Oryzias latipes: one gene and its partner. Each later gene encodes a partner of the first gene's protein in a complex. Links are inferred from orthologs where the notes say so. Each region holds a gene or a part of one and is shown on either strand. Other genes may lie near its edges.

Evidence for each region.
Region 2: bag3 (region 1) and hspb8 share a complex: the UniProt entries of both Homo sapiens proteins name them as parts of the chaperone-assisted selective autophagy (CASA) complex. The link is inferred for Oryzias latipes from reciprocal best matches to the Homo sapiens genes BAG3 and HSPB8.

Annotation. Positions count from the first base shown.
Region 1 is NC_019873.2:29,852,644-29,867,971, forward strand, and holds bag3 (BAG family molecular chaperone regulator 3), read left to right. Parts: upstream 1-7,694; 5' UTR 7,695-7,771; coding exon 7,772-7,942; intron 7,943-9,201; coding exon 9,202-9,534; intron 9,535-9,798; coding exon 9,799-10,116; intron 10,117-10,196; coding exon 10,197-10,775; 3' UTR 10,776-11,796; downstream 11,797-15,328. Other genes in the region: tial1 (nucleolysin TIAR), read right to left, coding at 2,319-2,394, 3,860-3,947, 4,044-4,098, 4,205-4,303, 5,439-5,535, 5,853-5,881; inpp5f (phosphatidylinositide phosphatase SAC2), read left to right, coding at 12,967-13,063, 14,028-14,108, 14,413-14,549, 14,888-15,016, 15,125-15,310. UniProt on the Homo sapiens protein: Co-chaperone and adapter protein that connects different classes of molecular chaperones including heat shock proteins 70 (HSP70s), e.g. HSPA1A/HSP70 or HSPA8/HSC70, and small heat shock proteins (sHSPs), e.g. HSPB8.
Region 2 is NC_019867.2:3,764,920-3,780,233, reverse strand, and holds the start of hspb8 (heat shock protein beta-8), read right to left. Parts: upstream 8,261-15,314; 5' UTR 8,084-8,260; coding exon 7,657-8,083; intron 3,875-7,656; coding exon 3,811-3,874; intron 478-3,810; coding exon 303-477; 3' UTR 1-302. Other genes in the region: srrm4 (serine/arginine repetitive matrix protein 4), read right to left, coding at 12,243-12,507, 14,045-14,197, 14,892-14,990, 15,069-15,257. UniProt on the Homo sapiens protein: Involved in the chaperone-assisted selective autophagy (CASA), a crucial process for protein quality control, particularly in mechanical strained cells and tissues such as muscle. Displays temperature-dependent chaperone activity.

The DNA of each region.
Region 1 (15,328 bases):
TGTCCTGATGGATTTTTTTTAGTTCACTGATTAATTAAAATAATTTAAAATACCAACTGATTAAAAAAAGGCTACATCCATTACAAAACATTAAAATAATTATAAAAGATGTAATATCACAGATCATACTGAGGAGGAGAGGCATATTAAAACTAAATTGAATGTTAAGGACAACTCCAACTTCCTTTTGTCCTTCAGTCTTGCTGTAGCTTCGCCTTCATGCCCCACCCCCACCCCCAGGGCGCTGGTTCATCTTGAGCACGTCTATCGTTGCATTTTCCACACGTGTTTTAAATGTGTCTAAGACTAAATCATGTTTTCGCTCACACGTGTTAATGTCAGAGCCCCGTTAGCTGTCACGCATGTAGGTGTGGGACCTTATGCTCCTCAGCTGCCCCGACTCCCGCGGGAGCGGTGTGCTGCCGTAACAGCCGCGCACGAGAACCGTGGTTTGCTTCGCGAGTTTGAGACCCCTGCTGTACACTCTGGCACTGGTACACTAGCCGCAGGTCAGAAGAACGAATCAATAGTTCGCTTATTCATAGCTCAGACGCACATATGAGGTTGTGATGATATTTGTCTCCGTTTCCTTCCCACAGATTTTTACGCGCACTCGATTGTCTCTAGGCCCCGCCCCCTCCACACATTTTAGCCACTTGCAGTGACTTTCCCTATTCTTCTCACACGCATTGGTCGCCTCAGGCATCACTCAATGACACGCGAGTGTGTGCGTCTGTCTGCGCGTGTGTGCGCTCGCGTCTCATTGATTATTTCATTGATCATTGACGTGCCCCTTCCAAGTTTAATGTATAAAAAATACGGAGGGTGGGGGAGGCAAATTTACGGGTAGCACATGTGCGACTGGATGTAAAATTCAGTCGCACACTCTCAAATTTTGGTCGCAAAATGCGACCAATTGGTCACAGTCTGGAGCCCTGCATGCACCCATAAGAGGGTAGACCACTACGGGGGGTAGACCACTACGGGGGTTTGACCCATACGGGGGGATTGACCCAAACGGGGGACTGACCCATGCGGGAGATAGACCCAAACGGGGGATTGACTCAAACGGGGGGTTGACCCAAACGGGGGTAGACCCATACGGGGGTAGACCCATACGGGGGGTAGACCCATACGGGGGGTAGACCCATACGGGGGATAAACCCATACGGGGGATAAACCCATACGGGGGATAAACCCATAAGGGGGGTTGACCCATACGGGAGATAGACCCAAACGGGGGATTGACTCAAACGGGGGATTGACCCAAACGAGGGGAATACCCATACGGGGGGTAGACCCATACGGGGGGTAGACCCATACGGGGGATAGACCCATACGGGGGATAGACCCAAACGGGGGGTAGACCCATACGGGGGGTAGACCCATACGGGGGATAGACCCAAACGGGGGTAGACCCAAACGGGGGTAGACCCATACGGGGGGGGGTTGACCCAAACGGGGGTTGAGCCATACGGGAGATAGACCCAAACGGGGGATTGACTCAAACGGGGGGTTGACCCATACGGGAGATAGACCCAAACGGGGGATTGACTCAAACGGGGGATTGACCCAAACGGGGGATTGACCCATACGGGGGGTAGACCCATACGGGGGATAGACCCATACGGGGGATAGACCCAAACGGGGGATTGACTCAAACGGGGGATTGACCCAAACGGGGGTAGACCCATACGGGGGGTAGACCCATACAGGGGGTAGACCCATACGGGGGGTAGACCCATACGGGGGGTAGACCATTACGGGGGGTAGACCCATACGGGGGATAGACCCAAACAGGGGGGTAGACCCATACGGGGGGTAGACTCATACGGGGGATAGACCCAAACGGGGGGTAGACCCATACGGGGGGTAGACCCATACGGGGGGTAGACCCTTACGGGGGGTAGACCATTACGGGGGGTAGACCCAAACGGGGGATAGACCCAAACGGGGGGTAGACCCATACGGGGGATAGACCCAAACAGGGGGGTAGACCCATACGGGGGGTAGACTCATACGGGGGATAGACCCAAACGGGGGATTGACCCAAAGGGGGGTAGACCCAAACGGGGGTAGACCCATACGGGGGGTAGACCCATACGGGGGATAGACCCAAACGGGGGGTTGACCCATACGGGGGGGTTGACCCAAACGGGGGTTGAGCCATATGGGTGACACCTTGGGCCTGTCTGCTCCCACTGTACTCTTGTTATTACTGACCACATTATTTCTATTCCATAGACTAGAAAAGCCCTCTAAGGAGAATAAGGAAAAGAGCTGTGACCTTCAGGGCGAGCTGTTGCTCGGGGACTTACCAGTTTGTTGTAGAAGGACACAAATCCATACCCCTTTGACTTTCCGGTTGTTAAGTCCTTCACAACACGGGCGTCTCTAAAAGCAAAGAGGAAAACGACTCGATAAAGCCACAAATCAAACCTTCAAACTAACAGGAACCACGAAAAACACTGAACTGTGACTCCTCTATGCTGTCCTACAGTCATGTATTTATGCTAGCATGGCCTAGTTTACTGAGAGCACTGAACTGATAAATAACTTCAAAGAAACACTGAAGAAAACCAAAAAACAAATACAAAGAAATACATGCAGCCTAGGGTACTGAATACTCTGATACTACTGCATGTGTACCAGCAGAGCACCATCTTTGGCTCAATTCTCACAACAGTAAGCTATTGATTAATATTCACAAAGGAATGAATATGGATTACCATGCATTCTTAAAATCTGCAGTTGGTGCTCTTCCTACAGATAGAAATATATAGAGAATATTAGAAGAGAAAAAAGGAATTAAATGGCATACGTGGCCTGTTAACAGATTTCTTTATTTTTCCTGGTCAATGCTTGTACGGAGTTTGGGGAGCTGCAAGTTTTGAGAAATTGACATTTTCAGAAATTTTGGAAGAGGATCATTGCACTAGAAACAAATCAAAATGAGACAATTCAAAACACAGATTCAAAGGAAAACACGGATGACTGGAAAGTGATCATCTAGTTTATATAAAGTTATATGAAAAAATAGAATAAGTAGAGAAAGAAATCTACATCTGAGTCTGCAGTTTGCTGCTGTTAGCCTTCATGCTTCTGTACAATCCTAGAACCAAAGTGCTATTACACGGAGACGGACGTCTAAAGGCGGATCAGGTTCAAAAAGAAGAGCTGAGCGCTGTAGTATGGTTTACTTACCACACCCTACATGTCAAAGGGTCTACAAAACAAGAACAAACAACCAGCCAGGCGTGTTCTTCTTCAGAGGAGCCTCTTCTTCATGACAAAAGCTCAAATATGCAGCTCATATTCTGACATCGACCTTCAACCCGGTTTACATGCAATGCAGGAAGATGTTTTCCGTCAGAGCTTTAAAAATCCTAAAAACATCAAGAAGGTGGAAACGTAGCCTCGACTAACAAACGTTTTGGAGATGTTTAGTGTTCCAGTTCCACCACACAAACGCATAACTCTGTTATGAAAAAGCCTGAAATGTTTGTGTCACATGACCGCTCTGAACCAAAGCAGATCCAGGACGGATCCGTTTGACCAGACGGTAGGAAACGTCCAGCCGAACATGTCTTCATCCCATGAAGGTCCAACTGGAATGAACTCATTTCCCTTTGGTTCTTATGCTGAAAGAGGAGCTCCACGGGGCTGTCGTGTTTATGCCGACAGCAGACAGACAGTGCATGGATGGAACATGTATGTGAACTTAACCGTGACCTGATTCTATCATGCACACGTGTTCATAGACGTCGGAGTAAAGGCCAGCAGGACAGCCTCAACACGCAGAACAATACAAGTCCATTTAGGATCATTACGCAGAAAAAGAACTAAAAGAAAAACTTACGAGATTTTCCCAAACGGTGTGAAAGCAGCCCTAACATCTTCTGTGGAAATGTCAGGGTTCAGATCACCCACAAACACATGGAAGTGATCTAGAACCAAAGCAAACGGGTCAGAAACACTCCTTCCTGTTGGTTCACACAGCTTGACGTCAGGAAAATGATCTGTGGGTTTGGGTGCAAACTCACTGGAAGTGTCTTTTTTCTGGCTACTTGGGGTGGTGGCCCAGTTTACTTTGACTTCCTGCAGAAAGGAAGAGTTCACAATGATTCCCATCACAGGAAACTAGAAAGACATTCCTATTATTTTTTCTAGAAGCAACAGACGCTGTAAACATATTTAAGCGTACCTTTCCCAGAATCTTCCTCCCGTTCATGGCCGCCAGAGCCGCTGCAGCATCTCTGTGTTCAAAAAACTCCACAAAGCAGTAGGGATCGTTGCTAGTGTGCTGCAAGAAGAAAGATGAACCCCAACGATTTACAAAGATGCTTCCACGCTTTATCACCTTCATACGCAAATCCGTTTCCATGAAAACCGCTCTCACCAGACCTGAGACGTCACATTTGTGATCACCAAAAGGTTACATGCTTCACCTTTATCTTAACGTTTGTCTGGAAATAGAACCTACTTTTTATTTGTTGCCTTTTCTCTGCATCTCATCTCATATTTTTCCCAATCAAACAAATCTGAATGTGTGAAATCTGCTCCACAGAGCTACAGGGTCTAAAGAAAAGACAGTTTCTGTTTAGACTCCAAGAGAAAATCCTCAGGATTGATTTTCGTGCTGCAAAAATCTGCTTTTTCCACCTTTGACATCTATTCCTCTTCTTTTTATACATTATTTACATTTTTTCATATGTAGAAAAACAAATTAAATCAGATAGTGGAGAAGAAACTATTCATTGGTTATTCCAACCAGATCCATCTGTCAGGCGATTTATAAATCATATCGACCTAAACTATTATAAAATCATTTCAAAATGAAATAAATTGATTACATTGAAATTGGAAGATACCATCTGGATTGAGGTACAATAGATTTATGTGTCTCTAAGGTAAAACCGACCAATCACAGCAGACGACACACATGTGACATCAGTCCATCATTCCAGTCCAATGTGTGGACAGACTTTGAATAAAGTCATGTGACCATCCAGTGTCTAGAATGTTCTAAGAATGTTCCCTTTGGATTCTTTGGATGTGGAAAAACAACAGTGGTGAACTTTAGGAAACTAACATGTGAATGGATTTGACATTCATTCTAGTTTACTTGTTGGTTTGGACACAGATTTCATTTAACTTGATGATCTGGAAGAAATCCAAGAATCTGGAAAACAGTTCAGTAGCAGGAATTTCTGTCTGAGTCTCACTGCTGGAAGTTTGGATCAAGAGGATCTGGATCCACTTTAGGACAGAGGATCGGATCATCAACCACAAATTATATGAATGGAATCATTAAAACGAATCGATCCAGCCCTATGTCAGATACTAATACCAAAAGAAATCTGAACATCAACCAGTAATGCTCCATTACCTGCTAACCATGAGATGGTTGTGTGTTTACATGAGTTGGTGAACGGTACCTCTGTGATCATTTTGCAGCTTTTGCAGGGTCCGATCTGGGTGAAGAGCTGCAGGATCAAAATCTCGGTAACATCTCTGGAAAGGTTTCCGACGTACCTAAAGCACAGAGACGGGATTTACATCATTACCATCCAGTTAAAAGTAACATCTTTCTATGTTATTCTGCATTTGTTTAGAGTAAGGTTATGTAGATCCCGTTACACATACTTTCCATGAACTAGTAGAAAATATAAATATATATATATATATCCTCGTAAACTAAGTCTAGTCTTATTTCGTTCCAAGCTTTGCGGTTACATTACCGCCACATATAGGAAAGCTAGAACACACCGGGTTAACATTGACAAGCTAAGCTAGCCGATATTTCCAGATGTTAGCAAACACTATGACACAACCGGGGGAGGGGGGCTTACAGAGTTCTGGGGTGGCTTTCGTCGTCCATGATCGATGCTGAAAGTCACGTGGTCCTAAAACGTTAGCTGCTTAATACCTAGCTGTCATTTAGCGACACTAGTGTCAAATACAAAGCAGCTAGTTACCCAGCTCCTCAGATGCTAACTGACGGGAACAGAGCGTACGTCAGACCATGAGTGTTTCTCTTGCGCATGCGTAACAGCCTGTCCTACGGAAAAGGTGAAGTAGCCTAAATTTAAACCTTTATAACCTTTATAAGAAAATGCAACGTTTGAAAAACGAAGGTTAGATTTTCTGTATCAATCATCTATTTCAGGGTGACGCTATTAAACGGCAATAGAGAAAAGTCTTTTTTTCCCCTGACGTTACGTCATTTCCTTAGATTTTAAGCGGAAGTAAGGGTTCGCTTGTTTTAAGGACCCTCCTGAGACGATGCCCGTTTGTGTCAGCTATAACTGGAACAGAGGGGATTTCTGGAAGCTCGGGTCAGGTGTCAGCGCGTGTGAACTTGTTTTTAAACACCTTTCATGTTTTAATGTTCAGCTATCGAGTTATTTTTATTCTTCTGTTTAAACTCTGCTGTAATGTCCGGACTTGATGCTGTGTGCTTTATAAAGTTAGGCTTTGTGTAGCCTGTAGAGTTCTTTTTACAGATTTTTGACTAATCAGAATAATTTTATTGTCATTGTATATGGTGATACAATGTAATTGCAGCAGCCTTGGAGTGATGAAGATAAATAAAATATGTATTTAGTGTAAAATTTAAATGTAAAGAAAAAAAATTAATTCACACGACACTAATGTGATTATCCTTATAACAACAGTATAGTAAAGGGAGAATGGATTATTTTACAATAACTCTAACCCATAAACAGTTTATCCCAGTATATATGGTGAGTCATAAACAGTCTCTGACATGACCTTATAGAGTCACAGAAAGCTTAGCCTTATCTTTATAAAGGACATTATTATTATTATTATTAAGAGTTTAACTATTAATCTAGTTAATTAATAGTTAATTAATATTAATTAATTTCTATTTGTACAATCGAGTGGACCTATACCATTATAAACTCGTGTCAAAATCAATTAAATCAATATTAGAAAATTCCATCTGGATTGAGGTAAAATTAATGGTCACACTCCTAATTATTTATTAATTTTTTCAACATGAATAATTTACTCTCCTGTTTTGCAGCATTTGACATAATTTAAACTATTTATAAATAACAATGGTTTCAAATATCAGTTTGATAATCAAACAGCTGTTTGCTGCACATATTTAGAATGACTACTTTGTATGTTTTTAAATCTTTTAAAGTTGTTTTAAAGTTTAGATCCTTCATATATGTTTAACATAATCATTAGATAGTATCCACTAGAATTTAGATTCCAAAAAGCGGCTTTAATATGAAATATTGATGAAAGCAAATGTTTGTCTGGACTGGAAAACAGAGTAATGTTATAAGCAGCTGTCTCTTTGTGGGGGGGTTGTGTTTGAACCTTTTGATTTTTCATTTTGTTTGTAGATTTTTACTCATTTTTAATGATAAAATAGAATTGGACTAGTTTATTTAGTGACCAAATCTCATTGAACATGTGTTCCTCGCCGGAGGCACGCATGTGTTTTTGAACATGTTTAGCCCCCCCCCCCCGTCTGGGCTCTGATGGAGTCGTCTCCGCTGCTCTCCGGTCCGTCGTCACGTTTCAGGTGGAGCTGCTCTCGGTAAACCCTCGTGGGGGTCTCCGGCTTGGATCTGCAGCTCCGCCCCCCCCCCCCCCCCCGCCCCCCTTGCCGCCCCCACAGTTAACCCTGCTATTTCCAGAAGCTTCCAGCCCACTTCCCCACGTCACTCCACGGAGTCTTTAAAGCGCCCGCCGCCCGTATAAAATGTCTTAGTACCGGAGCGCGAGCAGCATGAGCGCCGTGCAGACACGCGCCCCCGCGCCGACCATGGCTAACAACGACAGCGACCCCCTGCCCCTCGGCTGGGAGGTCAAAATCGACCCCCAGACCGGATGGCCGTTTTTCGTGGATCACAACAACCGAACCACAACCTGGAATGACCCGAGACACGTCGCGACAAAGGTGAAGGAGCGCGCGGGCAAAGTTGCTTCCCCGGCGGGAAGCGCTCGCGGGGAATCTGCGTTGGTTGTTTCTGCGGAACATTGTATTGTCGGTGGTAACGGCTGATCGGTCCCGCCATGTCCTCGTGTCATCATAACTATTATTACGCGATGAGTCACCCTGCAGTATGTGGCGGCCGGGACGGGGGGGCCGTTTTCACATTAAGGTCATTTTCCCAGCAGGGACCGCGGCTGGGCTGCTGTGTGTGGCGGGGGCTGCTGGGCGGGCGGTCCCGGGCAGAGGGCAAAGGGTCGTTCCGGAGGAGACACCGACGGGGTACCGATTGTTGACCGTTTTCCTCCAGGTTTTGGTCTCCTTTGGTTGGGGAGGGGGGGGGGGCATCAGACCTGTTGCTCTCTGCTCCTTCACTTCTTCCTGACATCTCGTGCTTTTATTTTTAAATTCTCTTCCTGTCTGATCGGTTTTCATGGAGGAAAATAGTTCACAGCGGTGACCTGTTCCATAAAGAACATTCAAAAAGACAAACAGTTGGTCTCCTTCAGATTAAAAGTGCTGTCCTGTGTGATGTTGGCGTGTTGGGGGTCAGAGGGGGGGGGCGCTGGGCACAGGGACACATCTTCAGGAGGCAAACTAGCAGCTGCCGGGCTGGAATGCAGAGGTTGTTCTGGCAGGGCAGCGTCACTTTTGGCTGCTGGGTGAGGAAATGTGACCCGGGACGGAGAAGGCGGAACGTGGATCTGGAGAAAGCGGAACGTGGATCTGGAGAAGGCGGAACGTGGATCTGGAGAAAGCGGAACGTGGATCTGGAGAAAGCGGAACGTGGATCTGGAGAAGGCAGAACGTGGATCTGTGGAGGATTTCCACCTGCGGCCGGACGGTCGCGAACACAGACGTCTGCACAGACGCTCACCTGACGTCAACGGCCCAAAGCACCGTTATATTTGGAAAACACACCTGGAAAACATGGAGGCAGCATGAGACGGGGGCTTTGTGAGCAGCTGTGGTGCAGAGGTAGAGCGGTTGACTCTGGATTAGGAGGTCTCGGGTTTGATTCTGGCCTTGCTCTGCCCCCATCAGAGTGTGTAAAGCACTTTAGGCTTTAGAAAAGCACTATAGAAGCACAAATACACAATTATACAAAATATCACTGATGAATCAGTGGTGGAAGTCTTAAAGTTTTTACCTGAGATTTGTGTGTGTTTTTTTAATGAATTTAAAGGTTTTTTGGTTCTAAATTCTTTCCCCTGCCTATATTTCAGAGTAGAGAAGCAAACGGACCCAACATACCTCCAGAACAACATCCTAAGGAGACCCAGAAGACCTTTACCCGAGAGATGAAGCACCCGATTCTGCGGCCCGGCTACATCCCCATCCCCGTCTTCCATGAGGGCGCAGAGCTGCGGCAGCAGCCGCCGCATCCCTGCTGTACGTACATCCAGCCAAGCACAGCGCAGAGTGTCCGGTACGAAGGTCAGGCTCCTTCGCACGCCTCCGGACTTCACGGCAGGCCCAGATCGCCGTTACACGTGGCCTCAGACAGCTGCTCCTCTGAGCCCGGGAGGGCCAGCACGCCCACGCCGCCAACCACAGAGGTACGGGTAACATTTGGGTTCTTCACTGACAGCCACCCTTGATTACAGTGGGAGTTTTCAAAATAACGCATTTCATACACGGAGGAGATTGATTGACAAGGTCAACAGCCAATCAGGATGCAGAACATAGCGAGCTGTGAAGTAAAATGGAAATTGGCTATAAAAAGGTGGCCGGCGATCTAGTGAGGGACCAGCATGAGCTGAAGCGGGTAACATTTGTGCGACCAAACGTGTTCACTGCGTTCTGACTGTGTTGCTGCTCAGGTGCACACCGCCACACACCACCAACCGTGTCGACCCGGCAGCACCGGCCTCCAGGCCGGTTACATTCCTATTCCAGTCATCCATGAGGGCGGAGGGGGTCCGCCTCAGGTAAACCCCGCCGTCTACTCTCAGCGCGCCCCCTACCAGCGCCTCCAGACAGACGAACGGCCCGCCTACTCTGCGGCGCCGTCTTCTCGGGAAAGTGCTTCCCCGACGTCGCTGTTCCCGCAGCACCGGGACGCAGCGTCTGCCCGCCTCCCACCTTCGCTTAGGAGCCAGTCCCCGACGGTATCGCAGCTGCAGGCGGACAGACCGCAGGTGGGCTTTCCGGTCTTTTCCTTTTGCCAGCGTGTCCCAGATTCTGACATAAAACTGTAACTTTGTTATTTGGATCTCAGCAGAACCTCCTCACTAGAGACCCGGCCCAGAAAGTGGAGCAGGAGCTGCAGAAAGCAGAGAACCTGCCGGTTCCTCAACCGCAGCTCACAGAGGTGGACGCTCCACATCTGGAGCAGCCTCAGTCCCAGGAGCCGCAGCATCACGTTGCAGACATCACGGTTCAAATCCCTCCAAAAGCAGAGGTTCAGGACCCAGCCGGCCCTGAAGCCCCCCCAACCAGAGCAGAGGGGGAGCAGGGCGCCGTTCACCCGGGCTTGGCGAAGGTTCAGCAGATCGTGGGACGGGTGGCTTCGCTGGAGCAGGAGGCCAAGGCTTTCAGCGGGAAGAAAAATGATAAGAAATACCTGCTGCTGGAGGAGCTGCTGACCAAAGAGCTGCTGGCTCTGGACTCTGTCGACCCGGAGGGACGCGCAGATGTGCGGCAGGCCCGGCGCGATGGAGTCCGGCGGGTTCAGACCATACTGGAGGAGCTGGAACAGCTGGAGGAGCGGCCAGCCAAGCCCACCAGTGAGACGCCGGCGGACGGTGACAGAGGAGAGTCCAAGGAACATTATGTGACGGCCAAGGAGATTTTCTGAGGAGCTCCCGTTCAGGAGCAGAGGATGCCGGCGGACTCCTCCGCCTGAAGCGTTTGTGGAAGCTGCATGCGTTCAGTGGTCGTTTGTTCCTTCAGCACTTAACTGATGGTAGCTCAGCGCCGTTCGTTTTTGAGCCATCGTTCTCGCCGTCAGTGTCCTTGTAAATTTGACTGCGACCATCAGTGAGGCGTTGACGGCAACCGCTAAGCAAATTTGAGTTTGAAATGAGGCCTTTATTACAGCATCAAAGAGAAATCCCAGTATTTTCCTAACAGAGTCTATGTGTCGTTGCCTTTAGTCTGACAGGAAACGGTGTGACGCGTCTTCTGGTGGAGTAAGCACACGGGTCGGTGTTTGAGGGCTCATGATGGAGCCGCTCTGTCACAGAACACAGTCACATCTTTACTACATGCTGCTTCTTGTGTGCACTGCCTTTGGAGTTGTGTTTGCACTTTGTTGTCACTGAAACGTGTTGAGAATCAGCAACGCGTCTTTGAAGGATGATCATTTGAGTGAGTTTGGATCAGTCGGTTGACTTCAGTCCCACATGAATCTTTCTATCAGTATATACAGTATTTTGCTACACTTCTGAATGTTTATTGACCCACGGGGTGAAATGTGTCGTCTGTTTGAGACGGGAGACAATCAGCGTCGGCTGCTAACCAAACCGGCGTGTTACGGCGTCAGAATGTCTGTAGATCACCAAAGGTCTGTCGGAGTGAAACCGTGACGGCTTCAACACGACCAAACATTTGAGCACGTCAGCGTTACTTTTATGATGCCCCCCCTCTTCTGGTCCTGGACTAATAATCAGATTCTACAGGATTAGAGATTGTGGCTGATTGACTTTAGGATTTGATAGCCGTTGGCAGAAATCGAGTCACACTGGCTTTTCTGAAAATAAATGTTTCAAACACTTTGTTCCTACAGATTCTGCAAATTTGTTTTTTACTATATATTTTAATGTTTTGGTAATTTTGTGTGAAAACAACTCAAATAAAGAGATGAAGCTCTAATCGTTTCCTGCCTGTCAGATGCATTTTCATGTTCCCAGTGGGTGGAATATATTAAAGTAGATGGCAAAGCCGACATCACATCCTCAGAGACGCTGCAGCAGGAAGCATCAAAAAAACGGGCAGATGTCAGGATTAGAGCGGCTGTGAAAAGATCGATGGACAGATGTGTCCCAGCATCTCCACAATGCAGATATAGACATCCTGCATCAGGGACGGCTGAAGCAAAGGCCGGCCTGTGGGGTCTTCAGCTCACACCGCCCGAAACGTGAGAGTTTATACTGACGGGACCAGGTAGGAATACACAGCTTTCATTCCGCTGAACAGCAGATTTCTAAAACCATTTTCAGATATTTCACGTGATGTGGTTTCTCCATTATGACTTTTAACCTGAAGAGTTTTCAGTTTGAAGGTACAGAAAAAGATCTGAGATAAACCAAACGAATGGTGAATAAATGTGTAAAGTGTTAAGGTTAAATTTAAACACTAAGTGTGAACAGCTGCTGGCTAAAAACTGTTTCTTAGCAAAAAGGTGATTAAATTAGAGCCTCTTCTGAGGAGGCAGGGATGCCCATTTATTTTAGTCTGATTAGTTTACTTTAACCATCAGCTGCTGTATTTTATGACTGATTTGTGCTTATGGTGGTTAAATTGTGGTCTAAAGTTAATTTTAAAAATCGTTTCTTTTCCTTTTTATATCAACTCAACTTACTTGTTGGAATTGAAGGACTTCTTCGCCGTAGTTATTTTGGACAGAGTGAACTCATTTTTGCAGCTACTGCCCCCATATGTGGAGGTTGGAACTGCATTTTAAACGCTTGTTTTTGATCCACCGACCTGAGCGTGCGTGATGACGCCGCGAGCTGCTGGGGGCAGGAAACGTCAGTGACGTCGTGCCGCAGCTCCCACCCGGGACACTTTGTAGAGACGCACGGATGTTTATTTGCGTTCTCAGCGGCCGGGATGAGCGCGAGGAGGATGCCGGAGCACCCCGTCCAAAGCGCGTTCCTCGTGGGCAGAAAGGCAAGGAAATGACCGGCTAGCTTAGCAGGCTGCTAGCCGGCGCTCCGTGGGGAAAATTGGCTAATCGTAACTAAGCTAGCGACGTTTCACATCTGTGCCGCGAGCCCGACCGCGGGAGTGGAAGGACGGCGGATCTGGTGGATAGAAAAGAGGAGATGGAGCTGTTTCAAGCCAAAGACGAGTACATTCTTCAGAGCGGGGACCGGGCGCTGTGGTGCAGCCGGAAGGACGGCTCCGTGACACTCAGAGCGGGTTAGTTGGTACCGACAGCCTCGGCGCGCGCATGTTCGTTACGTGTCATTTTTAAACCCACATGTGTGTTTATATTATATAGACTCTTTATTAAGCTGCCGCTCAATCCTCAACAGTCTAGTGACCTTAACCCAGATCAGTCACCGTTCGCGGTGACTCACTGTCCGGTCAGGAGGAGGCAGGTTTGGGCGCGCGGAGCCGGGAGGCACCTCCCGGTACTTCCCGGCTCCGGAGCGACCTGCCAACACCCACAACAGACTCCAAAGTTCCCTCAGGGCTTCCAGGAGGACTCTGCTCTGCTCGCCAGTGAGGAAGAAGTCAGTCGTTAACGCCTGGAGACCCCAGACGAGTATCATTTTCAGAGACCCTCCAGATGAGTGGATCCTTTCTGGAGACCCTCCAGACGAGCGGATCCTTCCTGGAGACCCTCCAGTGGTTCTCCAGGTGCTGCAGACACAGAGGGGTTTCGGCAGAAGGCTGCTTCCTCCTGCCCTCCCTGGCGGTGCAGCTGTCCTGAACAGGTTTTTAGTTGCACAGCTGTTTCATTATTTAATTGGAAAACGGGTTTCCGCTGCTCACTGCTGCGCTTGGACCGCTGTCAGGAGCAGAGCCGTGTTTCCACTCCGGGGTAAAGGCCACCGTGCAAACGTTCCCTGCAGAAGCTGGTCTGAATCCACTCACTGTGGAACAGGAAGAGTCATTGTCTGCTGCCACTCCGGCTGGTTCGCCACCCAAACCCACAACCTTCCCTTTTCCAGTTTCCTACACGGGTTCTGGATGTTCAAACATCATGTTGTTGTGGGTGAACAGCAGCTCCTTTCTACAGACTGAAGAGCTTCTTCAAACTGTGTTGGTGTCATGTTTAGAACACGTTAAATCTTCTCTTCAGCACCCGCCTAGGCCGTTCTCAGCCTGTTGGGCTGCATTCATGCCGTTGATGTTTGCTCTCACGTTTCTGTCTCAGCCACGGATCTGCTGCTGGCCTGGAATCCGGTCTGTCTGGGTTTGGTGGAAGGCATCGTTGGAAAGATCCAGCTTCACACAGGTGGGTGGAACGTGGAAAAACATGTCCAGAGTTCTCTTTCATTGCTTTTTGGGTGGAACAGACGCGCTCTGGCAATGATGGTGCGCCTGAACGCATCATCGCCGACTCATTCCCTAATCTGTGGACGAGTAAAGGCGTTAAAATCTCTGGCTGTAGTTTGAGTGTCCTGATGACTCAGTGACTTTGCTGGTGTGAAACGTGATTCAAATATTTCTTTAATAGTGTTTGTGAACGTTTGGTCAGCAGCTGGTCTCTTCCACCTCCATGCAGATGAGAAATCTTCATCTTCTTCCTCCCCTGATAGACTTGCCCCTGGGCCTGGTTTTAATCCGTCAGAAAGCACTGGTGGGTCATTTACCCGGAAACCACAAAGTCTACAAGATCACCAAGATCGCAGTGATTCCTCTGTCGGACGAGGAGCCTCTGGAGCTGGAGCTGGAGGTACGTTTGGCTGCTGAACGCAGGAGGCGTGACTGGATTTTAAATGTAGGCAGGAAACGATGAAGACGGTTGCTAAAATCTCAGTTTTTCAGGGAAGCTTCATGGACGATGAGACTGAATATTTTCAAGTGAGTAAAAAGGAGCATAGTTCAGAGGATCAGTTGTGATCCTCATCTGTGGTTCTTCCACCATTGAGATCCTGCTTTTAGAGAAGACGTTAAACTTAGACCTAGGCGGGTAGAGTTCAGTGTAGTGAAAGTGCTCACTAGATCCCTCTTCATCGTCCCGATAGCGTTCCGTTTTGGTCCGGGATGATTGACGGGATCCTCTTTCTTCAGCTTTGCAAAAAACATCATTTTGGCATCGATAAGCCTGAGAAGCTGGTCCAGTCTCCGGAGGATTCCAAGTTTCTGATCAAAACGTTCAGTCAGATCAAATCTAACGTGGCGGTTCCCATCAAGAAAAAGGTAGGGCTGTTTGTTTTCAGCAGGACTTTTCCGTCTTCGTGTTTGCTCTTCTCTCTGCCTCCTGAAACTCACGGCTCTTCTTCCTCCTTTTCCTCTGCACCAACCCAGTATCCCCCTGCCTTCCAGGCCAAGGAAAACAAGGAGAAGGAGCGTCTGGAGAGGCGCCTGCTGGAAGAGCTCTACAAGATATTCATGGACTCCGACTCCTTCTACTACAGCCTGACCTATGACCTGACCAACAGCGTGCAGCGCCAGGGAGACTCGGACAGGTCGGGCTTACCCTTGTGGAAGCAGGTGGGGAGCAGGACGGAC
Region 2 (15,314 bases), on another chromosome or scaffold:
TTTTCTGCTTTTCTTGTTTAAGATGCTGCTTTCTCAGGAGAAACCTTAAACTCTGAACTTTTATGAAGACGTGCCTGTTTTCAAAACACACTTTTTGAATTTTTTGCACAAGAAAGGGACAAAAAAAAGGCATTAAACTTAAAGACAATCATAATTTTAATTGTTCTTAAAGAGGAATGAAAAATAATTTAACAGTTAACAGCAGAAAAAGGCTTTTTTTTGTTTGAAATGAACATAAAGCTGTGTGTTTAGTGTCACATTTGTAGCTAATGGTTCATGACGATAAATTAGGCACTGCGGGTTTAGACGACAGGAGAGTCTTCGGGATTGGGGGCCTCCATCTCTGGTTTTTCGCCTTCCTTGGAGTCCTCGCCGCTGACAAGGTAGTATGGAGGCGTCTGTCTTGCCTCGATGATGAGGACGCCCTCAGGGGATAAGGAGGCAAACACTGTCAGGGGGTCTACATCTGTGGGGATCCTGAGGATTAAAGAAAAGACAATAAAACGAGAGACAATGTTTATTTTCCATGCATTTTAGACAGAGAAGGCTGGCTTATCCACAAATGTTCTGATGAGACACAAAAGACAAAACCACGCAGGTAGGTCTCCACGTCTTTTTTACTTTTATCGCTGAAATTTTCAAAAAATATATATAAATTCTGCCTCTTTTGTGATTTATTGAATGTTATTTTTGATCTGAGATGAACAAAATGAAAAAAAGACTCAGATGTGAGAAGGGTTTTTAAGATTCTGATCTAGCAGATTTAAATTATGACCCCCACACACAGACAAGAACAAAAGCTGTTCTCTGTCCAGCATTGCAGCCAAATAAGGACACGGCGGGCTTTCTATGTGAGCAGTCAAGTGTTATTCGGAGTTCATATAAACAGCAGGCTGCCATGTTCAGAGGAGGAGGCTGCAGGACTGAACTCCTTTTAATTAGACGGGAGCCTCCACCACCGTCTTCCCACTCCTCTGTGAAATACAGAGTCAGCTGAGGAACATGGGAGAAGGCAGACCTAGACATCTGCTGAAGACAGTTCACTTTAATAAGACATACAAATGTGGAATATCAATGGAAAAGTCATAAAAGTTTTGATCAAATTTTCCTTCATCTAAAAGTGAGTCTAAAGAACGTCTTTTCAGGCAGGAACATCTAAACAAAGTATCTGAAGGGTGGGGCGGGGTTAAGTGTACCTGGAGATCCACACGCTTAATACAAACAGAACTTATGCCAAATATTTTTACAACAAACTCATTTTTACTGATCATTTTTACTCCATGATTTCTCCTAATTAGTGTTTAGCTTTACACCAAATATGTAAAACATCACCTTTTTTTTATTAAGAGATTTTTTACTTTGCTTTTCTACTCCTGCTGTTTTTTACTGAGGTAGGATCTGTACAAAGGAAAAAACAAGAGTCAATTTTTGCTTCCAGATAGTAAAAACTAGAAAGAAAAACGTGCTACAGTACGTTTAGTTGTTGTGTTTTCCCCTCTGTTTTTACATCAAAATAAGTTCTAAAAACATCTGATCATATCTGTTTGATATGAGGAGAATTTGTAAGATTTACACAATTGTTTTTTTTTTACTTTTAGCTTTGACAATTTAGCTACAAATGCAGTTTTGTTTAAATGCCCGTCTAATCCATCCATCCATGCATCCATCCATGCATCCATCCATGCATCCATCCATCCATCCATCCATCCATCCATCCATCCATCCATCCATCCATCCATCCATCCATCCATCCATCCATCCATCCATCCATCCATCCATCCTCTAAACAGACTAATTCTTTAACACTTAGTTCTTTTAATTACTGTAGCTTTTTAACTGCTGACGTAACTGTCGCAATTCTAAGAATTTCTGAAGCTGAGAAAAGCAACTTGGGTGATGTGCAATACTTTATGCCAACATGAAACATTTCACTAAAGCTAAAGGGTTGCATCGCTGCGCAATCAGAATTGAAGATGCAAATAACATGAATTGCATAAACAGTCGTGGAGTTAAGAAAGTTCAAGGAGCGTTACTGCCCTTTGCCCATTGCAGGGCAAAAAAACTATTTTTTTGAGGAATTTAACAAACTTTTCCAATATTTAGCTGCAATCTAAATGAAAATTATTTTGAGTGAACCTTAACAGTTGACCAGCAGGAGCTGGATGTGTTTACAATCCCCTTAAGCCACCTAGGATCTTGTGGGCATAACAGAATTGTTAGTCCTGAAGCCCACATGGGAAACCCTTAAGGGGTAATAAAATTAGAAAATGTGACAAAGAGTTACAGGAAAAAGAAATTGATCACAGAGAAACTATTAACACGGTTGAAAAAATAAGCAAAACAGAAAATATCTTATGGTGCGATTACTGTCGCTGAGAGCCGGCATTAATCCCAGATCATTTTAATCAGCTTCCTTCAATAAACCAATTTTTGCGAGGCAAAGTGGCTCTTCTGACAGTCAAATCACTCAGAGTGGTCATTAAGCAGACAGCTCGGGGAGTTTCATTCAAGTTTGGCAGGCGCACAGTTTATCTTAAGCATTGATTCTGTACAGCTGCCAGAAAATGGTCCGATATTCTTTTAGCCTGCAGGGGTTCTGAGGAAAGACAAGACATGAAGGCCACGGGTGGAGTGAGGTTGTGTTTATGTGTGTAGCTGACACGCTCGGTCCTACACACCACACACACATACCATCGCACAACACCAGTTAGGAGATTTGAAAATAACAAGCCATTTTACAGACAAATGCTGAAGTCTTGTCTTACAGAACAGTGAACCTGACATAAAAACATCCTTTCTGCCTAAATACTGAACTTTTTTTTTGCTCTATAAACCCTAAAAATTGATGGATAAACCCTTTTATTAGATCTTATGTATTTAGCCTGAACATTTCTATTTTGTGTCTTTCCATGTTGCCTTTTGGTACATAATAAAGTGGTGAATCCTGTCTTTTTCAAGCTACTTCCACTCCTTCCATTGAAAGTTTGCCCTAACGTTCTTGCCTTTCTTCCCAAAAATGATCATCATAAAAAAACAGAAGAAGGGGGCTGTGTGAAAGTAGCTCACTTCCGATCTTCCCTCTACCTATACAACATGTAAAGTTTGGATGTGAGTACTTTGCTCTACAACAGGACAATAGGACAGCGGCTGTAACGCTGAAAGCTACAAAGCTAGCGTAACAATGTGCAATTTAGCGCTAGCTCATGAAATCCATTTTTAAAGATTATTCGATTCTTTTAAATTGACTTTTCCTTTATAGTCTTTTTCTAATGCTGATCAGAGTTCATTTTGGGCAACATCGCCCCCATGTGAGCAGCTGTTGGAACTGCAGGATTTCTCCAGGTGGTTTGTTCTGCATGGGCGGATGTTTATCTGCATCGCTGCCCATTCCGATCGGGTCAGCCGAACTGCCCCATCATGGAAAAAACCCACAAGACAATAAAAACTGCGTGAGTTTGCCAGTTTGGCAGCAATATTTTCTTTCTTTAGAAGCCCTAAGAAAAAAACGTGTCTGGCAGGTTTTACAGACAAACGTCTATAAACACATTAGCAAGATTTAAAGACTTCTGGAAAGATATTAAACCCCACAATGTAAAAGTTTTAGGACATTTTAGAAATTAATGAATGCTGTTTCATTTTTCTTGAAATCAAATTCCACGGATGCTGCTGCAAAACCAACTCTGAAGAAACATTTACATATTTCCACAGACACAGGTCTGGAATGATCTGAGACTCTCTTGAGCTGAAAAATCTCTGCTTCATGGATTCTGAGGTTTACGGATGGTAATCCGCAGCTGCCATCATACTCACTGTATCTTCTTTGTGAAGTTCTTCGTCACGATGCCGCCCTCCTCTTGCTTCTCTTCATGTTTTCCTGTTAGCAAAAAAGAGAAAATGCAGATCAGGAGATGGGCGGAGACACTTCAGAGGTCAGGAGGTCAAACTGGATGCAATGACTAAGCTGTGCTGGCGCACGCGACGGCTCATGTGACGGTTTGAATCTGCCGTACTGACGCGTTTAAAAGAAGTGTTGATGTAGCTCAGAATACATCTCTGCTGCTCCACCCTGGAAGCAGCTGCTCCCTGGCTGCGAAACGTCAACGCCGTGGACAAAAGTGCACCCAACCCCGCCCTATGACCCCTTTCTGTGCACTCCAGCCCCGTCAGGGTGATACATTACACCCCCTGAGTGACGGCTCTGTGTGGCGGAGTTCACCAGAGGCCTTGCAGAGGAGGCTGCCATGTGAGATTGCTGGGAAGACTCCAGCATGACTTCATGGGCGAAGCTGATCCCTGTGGACATTTCCTGAAAAGGTGTGGTCAGAGAGCAGCTCAACAAAAAGACGTCTCCATTGGTGTTGAAAGCTGTCATGACAAGCGGATGACAAATTCCTGATGTGGTTTTGTTTCATGAAGAAGAGGATGAAATCACTGAAGGATTTTCCCCCAGCGAACCTCAAAATTAAGATTGTTCTTCAGAGGAAGAACGCAGAAAACAGCAAAGACCAGATTGTTTTTGCAGTTCTTCTTTCTTATTGCTTCGGAGCAAAAATGTTCCCCGGCCACATTCGAAAACTCAACAAACCCCCCAAAACTTTTTTTGTGCCCAAACGAAATATTTCAAAATCCACTAACAAAACCCAAACATGTATGTAAGGGATATTCAAAGGCAGTTTTAAAATTATTATGGTACAGGACCGACAGCTTGGTGGTCATTTTGTGGCAAAGTGTGAATTTGGCGATTTTCCCACGATTTGGGACCTGTTCAAGCAATCTTTACTAAATTTCACACACGCACTGCCAGTTTAAGTCCACATCCACAGCCAAATTCCGCTGAGTTTTGGAAGAGGCCGCCATCTTGAATTTAAAAAAAAAAATCCCTTTCGACTTTCTAAAATTTGAAACTCCTCCTAGAGTTTTCAATCTATCACCTTCGCGAGCATCAGTGGGAAACTAAAAAGGAAAAAGACATTAGAGTGGCAAGCTTGCAAGAGTGGCGTTTCCCTGTTACTCACACATTTTTTACCAGACTATTGTTACATTTTAATACATAAGTTGTTGGCTCAAGCTGGAAAAAAAATAAAAACAATAAAAAAACACTGTGACATACAATACAAACATATCAGGAACGTGAGCGTGATTGACAAAAAATCTCTGTTGCAAAGGAAATCCCAAATTTTACTTTTGCCAATTCTTCTAAAAATAACATGGAACTGTTTATCACCTCCAGGTGACCAAAAAAATAAAGTGGTTGCTATGGAGATTAAACCAATAAAAAGCTCCCATTTTGAAAAAAAGTTTTTTTGTTTTTAGGAATTTATTTTCGCAGTTCTGAAGGCAGAAGGGTGGTAGTGAGGGGTTGGGTGGCAGAATTTCGGCCGGTCAGGGTGAGTCAGGAGGAGGCTGTGGGTGGGGGGGGTGCATAGTGCCTGCAGGCCGTACAACGCAGCTCCTGGCTTATTGCTTACATGAACAAGCAGATCTAAAGATGCAAAACGAAAGCATCTTCATTTTTTTTTGTTCTTAGCACATCTCAACTCAGAGCAGCACAGACTGTGTCAAGTCTCTTAAAAGGTTATTGACAAGCTACAATCCAGCCAGACGTTTATTCATGAAATAAAAGCTAACCCTTGATCAAAGTTTCCTTAAGTTTGTTTTCAAAGGCCCAAGTTGTTAAGCAGATAAGCTCTGCAATTTCCTGCACTTTTGGATCAATATGCTTCTCCATTGCAGAGACCTTAACAGTCTTCTAGAAGCTGTTGCCAACCAAACTTTTCAAATCAGCAGCTGTCATCCTTTTTGAGCCACATAAACCATGTTTACCCTGCAGCAGCTCACGCTGTACCACTCAAATGTGTCTCAATTGAAATGGAGTGGGACATCATTTCCCCACAGACAAAAGAAACAATATTTGTTTTAATTTGGTTATTTCTGAAATGGTAATCATGTTTTTTAATCAATTGAGATGTGCAGCTACATTAAAAGAAGAAATCAAATACTTTTTACAGTTAAAAAATGCATTTCCAAAATGCTCACATTTGCTTCCAACAGTTGAGCTTCATCTTGTCTAAGACTGAACACTTAAAAACAGTTTTTAAAAAAGCAAATTGAATAAAGAAAGAGGCTTTGTGAGTATAAATGCTTTTACTTTGAAATACGTTCCACGGGCCGTGCTATCCTCTCAGTGAGAGGTTTTGTTGATCTCTCAGGTTATCTTAACATTCCAGCAGTTCGTTTCAGTCGTTTCCATCAAGCTGGTCAAATGGATCATGTTTTGCAGTTGGTCTATTATTGCATTTATGCTTAGCTTTTCTTTTTTTGTTAAAAGTAAAATAAACAAAAAACCAACATGTTTTATTTTTTAATCCAAATGGCATCAGTTTGTCTGGAGGAGTTTTAGAAACAGTACTGTCTAGTTTTGTAAAACTAAAAACTTCTAGCAACTTTGTATATAATTTCTGTTGGTTCATAGTTATGTAATGAGAATCTATTATAAACTCAGAAAATAATAACAATTCCAAAAAATTCTCATGCTTCATTTGCACACTTCAGGGAATGTAATGACATCTGTATGCCACTAAGTGTCCTTCTCCCTTATTAGACTGAAGCCTCAAAGCTTCCAATTGATTTTCTTTGAGCAAAACAAAAGTAAAAGTGTCAGAGTTGATCTAATTTCCACAGTTTTGATTGGTCTTGTGTTTCTCTTCTCCTTAATGCTTTGTCTTCTGTGCTTCTGTGTAAAACTCGAGTGTTCAACATTTGTTCACTCAGCTGTTGGACACCTTTAATTAGGTTGAATGCATTCCCTGCCACACTTTTAGAACCACTTGAACCACTGTGGCAGGAAGGACCAAAATGGCGCCAACCCCAGCTGGCATCCCACTGACGTGTTTATAAAAAACCCAGAGCTGAGTGAGAGGAGGAGGTTCTCCGACCTCCTTGCCCTCTTCAGCTCAGGGAAGCCTTGGAATAATTTGACCCTAAGAGCCTGGAGAAGAGGAAGCGTTTCCACATCTTCATCCAGCTATAGTCTGCATCCTGCACCATTACACTCGGAAGAAGCTCCAGCCCCTTCCAGAACATTCTTGCTCCAGCCTAAATCTAAATCGAGCTCATGAGCAGCTAAGGGAGCGATTTTCCAAGAATTCAAAAACAGGTGTCCAAGCCTAAGTATCGGCTTCACAACTTAAGTTCCAGACAGTCTTCAAAATCTGTCCTGAACTGAAGATTCAGAAGATTTTCCAGACAGAGCAGGCTGCTTTGGTTTCTCAGTAAAAACATGTTTAGTTTAGTGCTTTTTATCTTATAATTACGTAAACATTCAGAAAAAGCTGGAGAAGAAATTAAGAGTGTTGTTTTATTTTTAGCCTGAACATCCTGGAAACAAAGATGGGGGCTCCAGTGTCTTAAAAGTGATAGACGTGGCCTACTTTTACACTTCATGTCAATGATTTTAGTTGTTAATGTTTTGCACGTTAGTTTGCAAACAGAGTCAGAGTGTCTTTTTTTTAACATTAGATGCAGCAGGTTTGCGCACTTTGGCCCCAGATCATTAATCATTAACATATTGAAAGTTATGAGACATTAACACTCAAAGGTCAGGGTCACAGAATGGACCCTCAAAGTTTTGCCCTCTGATTCAGGCTGAAAGCTCACCTGACACCTCCACGAACCCGTCCCTGGTCTTCACGTTTAGCTCCTCTGCTTTAAAGCTGTGCACGTTCACGCACACTTTCCACGGCTCCCCGCCGCAGCTGGTGGGGGAGCCCCGGGACTGGGGCTCTCCGTACCGGCTGCTGGTGTAAACCGCGGGGCCCCCCGTCGACTGACGCGCGGGGAAGCCTGTGCGTAAACCGGTGCCAAACGGCGAGGCGCCGAGGCGCGAGCTTAACCTGCCCGGCCGAGCCCACCCGGGCCAGTCCATGCCCAGATCCTCGGGGAAAGGAGGCATCCCAAAGTCATCGTCCATAAAACGGGACGCCAGTTGATCTCTGAAGGGAGACTGATCCCTGAACGGAGACTCAAACGGATCTCTGGGGAAGCGCTGCCGGTTTCCCATGGTGTAAAAGTCTCCCTCTGCCATCTCCACTTCAGCACAAACTCAGAAACTTTTTGGAAATGGATTGGTTAAGAACTTTCTCCTTATTGAAAAATAGTACTTCTTCGGGAGGGGGATAAACCTTATCTGATCTGGAGCGCGCGTACCGCCCGTTACGCGCAAAAGCCTATCCGCTAAACAACATCGACACGGAGCGCGGGTTAAATACCCAGCTGGGGGCTTCACGGGGCAGGAAAGTGCTGGGAGGCCCTCGAAAGGCCCTACGCTGTAAAAAATATAAACCCAGAACAAAAAAACAAACCTCAAAATTTCACAATTACATAACATTCATAATTACATAACATTCATTTAATCAAAACTAACGTCTAGCGTTACGTGCGTGAACGCAACGAGGGAAAGTACTCCAAATAACGATAACATTCCCGGTAGATGTAAATATTTCTTTTAGTGGAGGCGCAGCAGCTGGGGGAGGACCCTCCCCCCGTGACTCATCATGTTTTAATAGAAGATAACTCAGAGCTGCTGCAGGTCTGAAGTCACACTGAAGAAGTGACACCTGAACTTCTTCGTGAAGATTTGCTGATGCAGAAAATCCACCTGCAGTGACCGAATGAAGACTTTCAGGATGACGCATCAGACACTAAACAGCTCAGTGACATGCAGCCAAAGATGCATCAGCATGAAGGGGAAATCACCAGTGAAATAGTCAATGGAAACTTAATATGACTCCATAGGATTATTATATATTTTTAGAGGTAAATTTAGTTTCAGACTTGATTACTGTTAAATAAATAAATCACCTAAACCACATCAGCTACTAAAAGATGATAAGAAAATTCATGTGTTTGAAGGTTTTGTTCTTTCTGCTAAAATAACTTTTTTCTATCAAATCTGTATTCTTGCTAATATTAAATATGTTTGATAAAGAGAGAAAAAAAGGAAAGTTCAGCCCTGTAACATGTTACTTAGTATTTAGACAATGAGCTGTTTGGTCAAGACTAGAGTTTGTCTTCTGTCACCTCATCAAACAAGTGAAAACAAAAACCTCAGTTTCCTCAAACACAAACATTTTCACTGCAATATGAATGCAGATGGACTTTGTAAAGGACTGAGGTGAAGAAGCAAAGGAAGGGAAAAAAGTGAGAAGTGATTGACAATGGTCTGTGGCCAATCAGACGTAGAACACAGCGTGCTGTATTAAAAAAAAAAAAGAAAGAAAGTGACCATTGGCACGTAATTCTAAGATACATGTTGGGCGGCCAGTGCTGAACTTTTTTTTTGGCCACACTTATTTTAAACACTGAAAATACGTGGTTTAATATAGCCGTACTTAAGATATATGCTGTGCCACTCGGTATCCATGCGTGTTTTATCAATCACCCCTTAAAATACCTGCTACCGACCACAAAATTTAGCCTCAGATGCACTTAAAATATGTGCGGGCAATGCAGTGATGTGCTTAGCCACAAGGATTACGTCCGTTTTTGTGCTTGGTCACACTTAAAATATTGTACTGGTAAAAAGTGCAAAACAGTGAGTCCGCAAAGGTGAGCCACAATATAGCGAGAGGTCGCTGTATAGCATGTGAATAGCAGTTTATCCACACTGTGAGGACATTTACTTGTTTTGCTGTTTCATTTCGTAATAAGCCACACAGTGAAGTGCAGAGACTCCACCTACTTTAGGAGGAAGGAAAGTGCTGCTATAACTACAACTGGAAAAACACTTAAACAACACAGATCTACAAAAAAAAACAATCTTTTTATGGTTGATGGGGAGCAGTGAAAAGCTGCAAAAACAAGCGTGGCGTCATAAGAGATGGTGACTCTGCCAGTGGACATTTTTCAATTTCACCTGTTTGGTCTGAAAAACAGTTATCATTGCCAGGATACCATCTCTGTGTTCATCCACACAGGGCCAGGTTTCACACTAAGGATGCAGGTAGAAGTTTAAAAGATCATAAAACATCATTTATTTCCGTTTGATTCTTATTTAAAACACAAACAGAAGGTTCAATTTTGTAATTTTATTTTTAGATCTTCAGTGTGACTTTGAGCTGTAAAAAAAAGTAAACTTTCGCTCAAAAAAGGTTGAAAAATGCTGATTTAAAAAGAAAACAAATGTGGGAGTCACTTTTCACCTGTTGTTGGAAAGCTGAGAAAGGTTTCAGCGTTCCTTGTCGCCGGACTTTCCCATCTTCATTTTTATTTCAATTGACTGCTGATAAATTTTGAACTTGTTTGAAATCTAACATGAATCTCGTCACATTTACAAAACTATACACTCTTCATCCAAATAACTGCATCCATAAAGCCTCAATTTGTTAAATCTTACTTTTTAACCTCCATGCAAACTAGAGCAGGTTGATAACGTCTATGTTTATAATAATTAGGTAAACAAAAACGTTATTTTTTTTTATTTTAAATGATCATATCAACTTTATGTGTAAATAAAATATCAACACATGTCTTTGGGAATTCTTCTTGTTTAGTCTTTTGGATAGATCTTCTGTAAAAATATTCATGTTGTTTATGATTTTTGTTTATTTTCCAGTAAAATCAGGATCAGCCCTCTGCTTCTGCCCTGATTTAAAGATAAAAAACAGTTTGGGGGTTAGGTGGTGGACAGCAGAAGTACATAAAACCTTCACATGGCCGCTCTGTCCTGAGGCAGATCAGATGTTCAGCCGTCTAAGAGTCATTGAAGCAGGTTTTTCCTCTGGTTGCATTCAAATGTTGCTTCGGCCGCTCTCTGTTGTATTACACGCACTGACATTTCAGCAACACCCCCCACCCCATGTGATCAGAGGATAAATTAATCTGACATTTGAGCTGACAGGCTGTTTACTCTGTGTCAGCCCACCTAGGCTGAGAAAACATGGTTGTTTTTGTGGAGAGATCAGAGTCAAAACCTTCCTGAACGGTGTTTTTCGCAGACTTCCCTCTGCAACATCAGCAAACTAAACGTCTAATTCTTTTCATTTTTTTCTTCCTGTTCTTTTAACTTGTTCTGTCCAACAACTGAGCAAACAGATGAGCGCTGAAGTCCTTTTGTGTTGGACAGGTTTTGCTATTACAAAAAGGGGTTATGAATCTTCAGATAGCCAGGATGTAAATTTGTTTAAACCCCTTTGTGTTTTTTTGTTTTTTTATTCTTTTATTTATTTGTTACATTTTGTGTTTTAAGTATATATATACATATTCTTTTTATTAAAGGGGAGGGAGAGGGGGAAAGTGTGTGTGTGTGTGTGTGTGGGGGGGGGGGTAGAAGAAAAAGAAATAAAGAGGGAGGGGGAGAAAGTGAGGGGATACAAGTGCTAAATTGCTAATTTGAATAGGTTACGATTCTCAGCTGTGAAACATTTATACTAGATCTGCAGAAAGGCAAATATTACATCCAAACATGAAATTCTGACACTAAGATAAGTGGAAGATATCCATGTCCATCAAAAACACTGTGGATTAAAGGATTAAAGCAGATAGGGAGCAGTGTGCACGTGGGGGTGGAGCTACATGCACCCTGCCAAAGTGAACCATGTGATCATAAGAGGAACCAGATCCTCCCCAGCCCGACCAGGAGAGATGGGGAGACCCCCGGACCCGGAGCGTCCCAAGCCAGGTGCAGAGGAGGCCCCCCGACAGGGGCCCCTCCGCCACCGGGAGGCATAGGCTAGCCCAGCGTCAGGACCCCCAGGCCACAGGACAGGCGTGCTCCGCTGTACCAGGCGGAAGCCACTGGGGCCACCGGGCGCTGGACACCGAGATGCGGGCCAAGGACGAGGCCAGGGCCCAGAGGACCCAGGAGCCGCCCACCACCCAGCCGGAGCCTTGTCACCGCAGGCCAGCCCCGGCGCCCGACCCAAGCAGCCCAGAGATCACGAGGCAACCACAGCTCCACCCCTACCTCCCCCCACACTACACTACCCTCTGCAGCCCCCCTCACCCAACACTTTTCATTTTTTAAGGGAATCAAATGTTTAATAAGTCAGCATGAGGAAGGTTTTGCGGGATCATTTAATGGTCAGAGTGCAGACACATGAACAGTTTGGCACATGGATTTGCACTGAATAAATACAGGAAGAGTCCGTTTGGATCTGCAGTCTCAGGCTGAGCGTTCATGCAGGAGGATGCAGAACAAGAACAAAACGCAGAAAGAAAAGGACTGTTTTCCCCAGCTTCAGACACTAATGCCTCGTTTTCCTGCGTTTGATCAGCAAACTGCGGCTGCGGCTGCGACTGCGGCTCCCGCAGGAGGAGTTCCAGGATGAGCTGCGACTGTAGCTCCTGTAGGAGGAGAAGCTGTGGCTGCGGCTGCGACTGCGGCTGCGGCTGATGCTGTGGATGGGGCTTCGACTGCGAGTGAAGATGCTGCTCCAGGACGACACGCTGGTGGAACGAATGCTGGAGGGGGGGCTTGGCCGGAAATAAGGAATGGGCCTCTTCCTCGCACTGAAGAAAACACGAAGAAGAGCCTGCTTTAACTTTCAGTATTCTCACACTGAGGAAGCAGTTTTAAACTTTTCCTTCTTTAAACTATTCATTAAAAACTAGCTCCATTCAAATTTTTTTAGCCAAAAAGTAACACCAAAAGCCCTGTTTGTTTTGCTTCAAACTAACATTTTTCCACTTCCTGTAAACCGCAGGGTTTCTTATCTCCAGTCCCTGGGAACCACCAGCTGCCTGATTTCAATGTTTTCCTCCTCAAACATACCGGCTTAGGAGATCTTTACGACCTCTCAGGTGAACTCCTGCTGAACTACTACATCAGGTGTGTTTTAGCAGGTAGCACGCGGGTGAATGAAGTGGAGAAGTGTGGGGTGCCAACACTTTTTCTGCATAAGAGCAACTTTAAAGCTCCAAAAGATATATATATATATATATATATATATATATATATATATATATATATATATATATACACACACACACACACACCGGTATATATAGGCCTTTGTATATATATTTATCATATTTCTATACTTAAATACCAAGAATTCTTATGAAAAATTGAATTTAAAGTTAATCAAAAAATTATTCAGGGATACGTTTAGATGCATCTAAATGCAGTCCTCTGTCATTTTTCCTTTAATATCTTGATGAAATCAACCTGTGTGTTGGTTGTCATGTCAACGGCGCCCCAGCAAACGCTGGGTCGACGACAGAAATGTTCTGTGTGCGTTCTGTTGGAGGTTCTGTTTAAGTGTTGGAATAAGGCGCATTAGCAAATACATCCACGTTTAGGAGTCTGACACTGAACGCTCACACCTTTCCGAAGTTTAGGAGGAAGAAAAACTGGGATCTGTCCCTCAGCGTCGTCAAACACACAGGCATGTGTCAGAGAATGTTTGATTGGGTGGTCTGCATGTCAATCAAGCGACATACTTTATGGCGAGGATGATCATTGGCTAATGGCAACTTTTAAAAATATATTCTTATCTGTTGGTCCCCAATCGCAATCGGTCTATCGATCTTGATCAGCATATTGGGAACCCCCCCCTGTTGACACCAAATCACCCAGATTTTCTATATTTTAGATCAATTGCTTCTCCTTGAGGCCCAGGCAGCTGCAAGTGGGGCTCGGCTTTGGAGCTGCTCTTACTTTAGATCAAAGTTCTGTGAAAATGTTCATGTTCTTCGTGATTTCTGTTGCTGTAAAATCTCACATAGTTGATTTATTTTAGCATTCCTGCATAAATATGATTCCGGTAAAGTTTCAGGTAAATCACATTGTGATTTTTTTTCTGCAAACCTTATGGTTAAAAGCAGTCTAAAAGTTTGAACTGTATTTGTCTAAATCAACTTTAAAGAACATTTTTCTTCTTTGCAAAACACCTCGAAGGGCTTTACATAAAATAAATAAACAACACAAATAATTGTAATAACAATAATCACAACAAAAGTCCACACATGCCAAAATATAATACAATAATCCTAACTGTGATTTCTGAACTAAAAAGTGTACGGCGTAAATAAAAAATCAACGCACCTTGTGATGCGCCGAGCTTCTAGATGACTCGGCGAGTCCCTCCTCCTCTTCCTCATGGGAGTGTAGGATTTGCGCCTTCCTCGCTTCCTGACTTTCCGTCCGTGCTTTGCGTCTGTCTCTCTGGAGTCCGCTCGTCTCTTTCTGTCTGAAAGTCTGAGGAAGCAGCAATTACACCACAAAAATACTGAAGTAACAGCTTTCAGGTCATTCTTTTACATCAGTAATGAGAAATAATTACTTAAATTGTTAAATCAATTTTTTTTCTTCATTATTTAGCGTTTTCAGTAGCAGAGCAGAAACACTGTTTCATGGTCCTGCAGCAAACCTGGTGTGTAATTTCTTAAATCTTTTTTGTAATTTAAGTTTGACCTTACCACATGTTACACCTTTGAACCAAATTTTGGGGAAAATGAACCTGGAAAGTGCATCCCTACTGCATACATTTGCAAATATTTTGCAAATATTGACATTGAAGATGTCAAAGAAATATGTTCTAAACTTGAGAAGGATTCATTTTTTTATATATTTTTTTTACATTACTTTCTTGTCAACAAGACTAAACCACTGTTGCCGTACAATGGCAACTAGCTCCTCCCACTAGCACCCAGCAGACTAGAGGCCCCACCTCCAAGTACTCAAGAGGAGCTCAGGCCAGGGCCCAACCGGTGTTTGGGTGTTTGGCGGACCAAAGTTGCTCACGTGGGTCTCAGTGGGGGCTACAGACAACCAAACACATCAAACTCTAACCAATTGGTACCACTCCATCCACCAACACATATCCACCACCAGGAAACCCGTACCCAGGAGGGGAGAGACGGACAGAAAGGAATTAGTAGCTGAAGTTCACCTGTCATCACTGTGTCTGGAGTAGCTTCCTCTGGAGCTCAGGCTGCTCATGCTGCCTCTTCGCCTGACATCTGAGTGACTGGGGGATCGTGAGTACGAGCTGTGAAGACATAAAGTACATTGGTGCTGCAGGAGACGTAGATTTGAGCTCATTTGCTACACATCTTGTCAGATCTACCTGCGAGAAGACAACGAGGAGCTTCTGGAATAGCGTCCCAAGTATTTGGAACTCCCTGAGGATCTGCTCCTGCTGCTGGAAGAGCGACCTTTTGTCCGAGACGAACCCCTCCTCCTCCTCCTCGATTCACAGCTGGTTGACTCAGATGATCCGACAACCTCTACGTGACACCCCAAGGTTATCTGCTCCCTGCACACACGCACAGAAATTGCTTTGAGTGACAGGACTTTAAAAACATAGCAACAG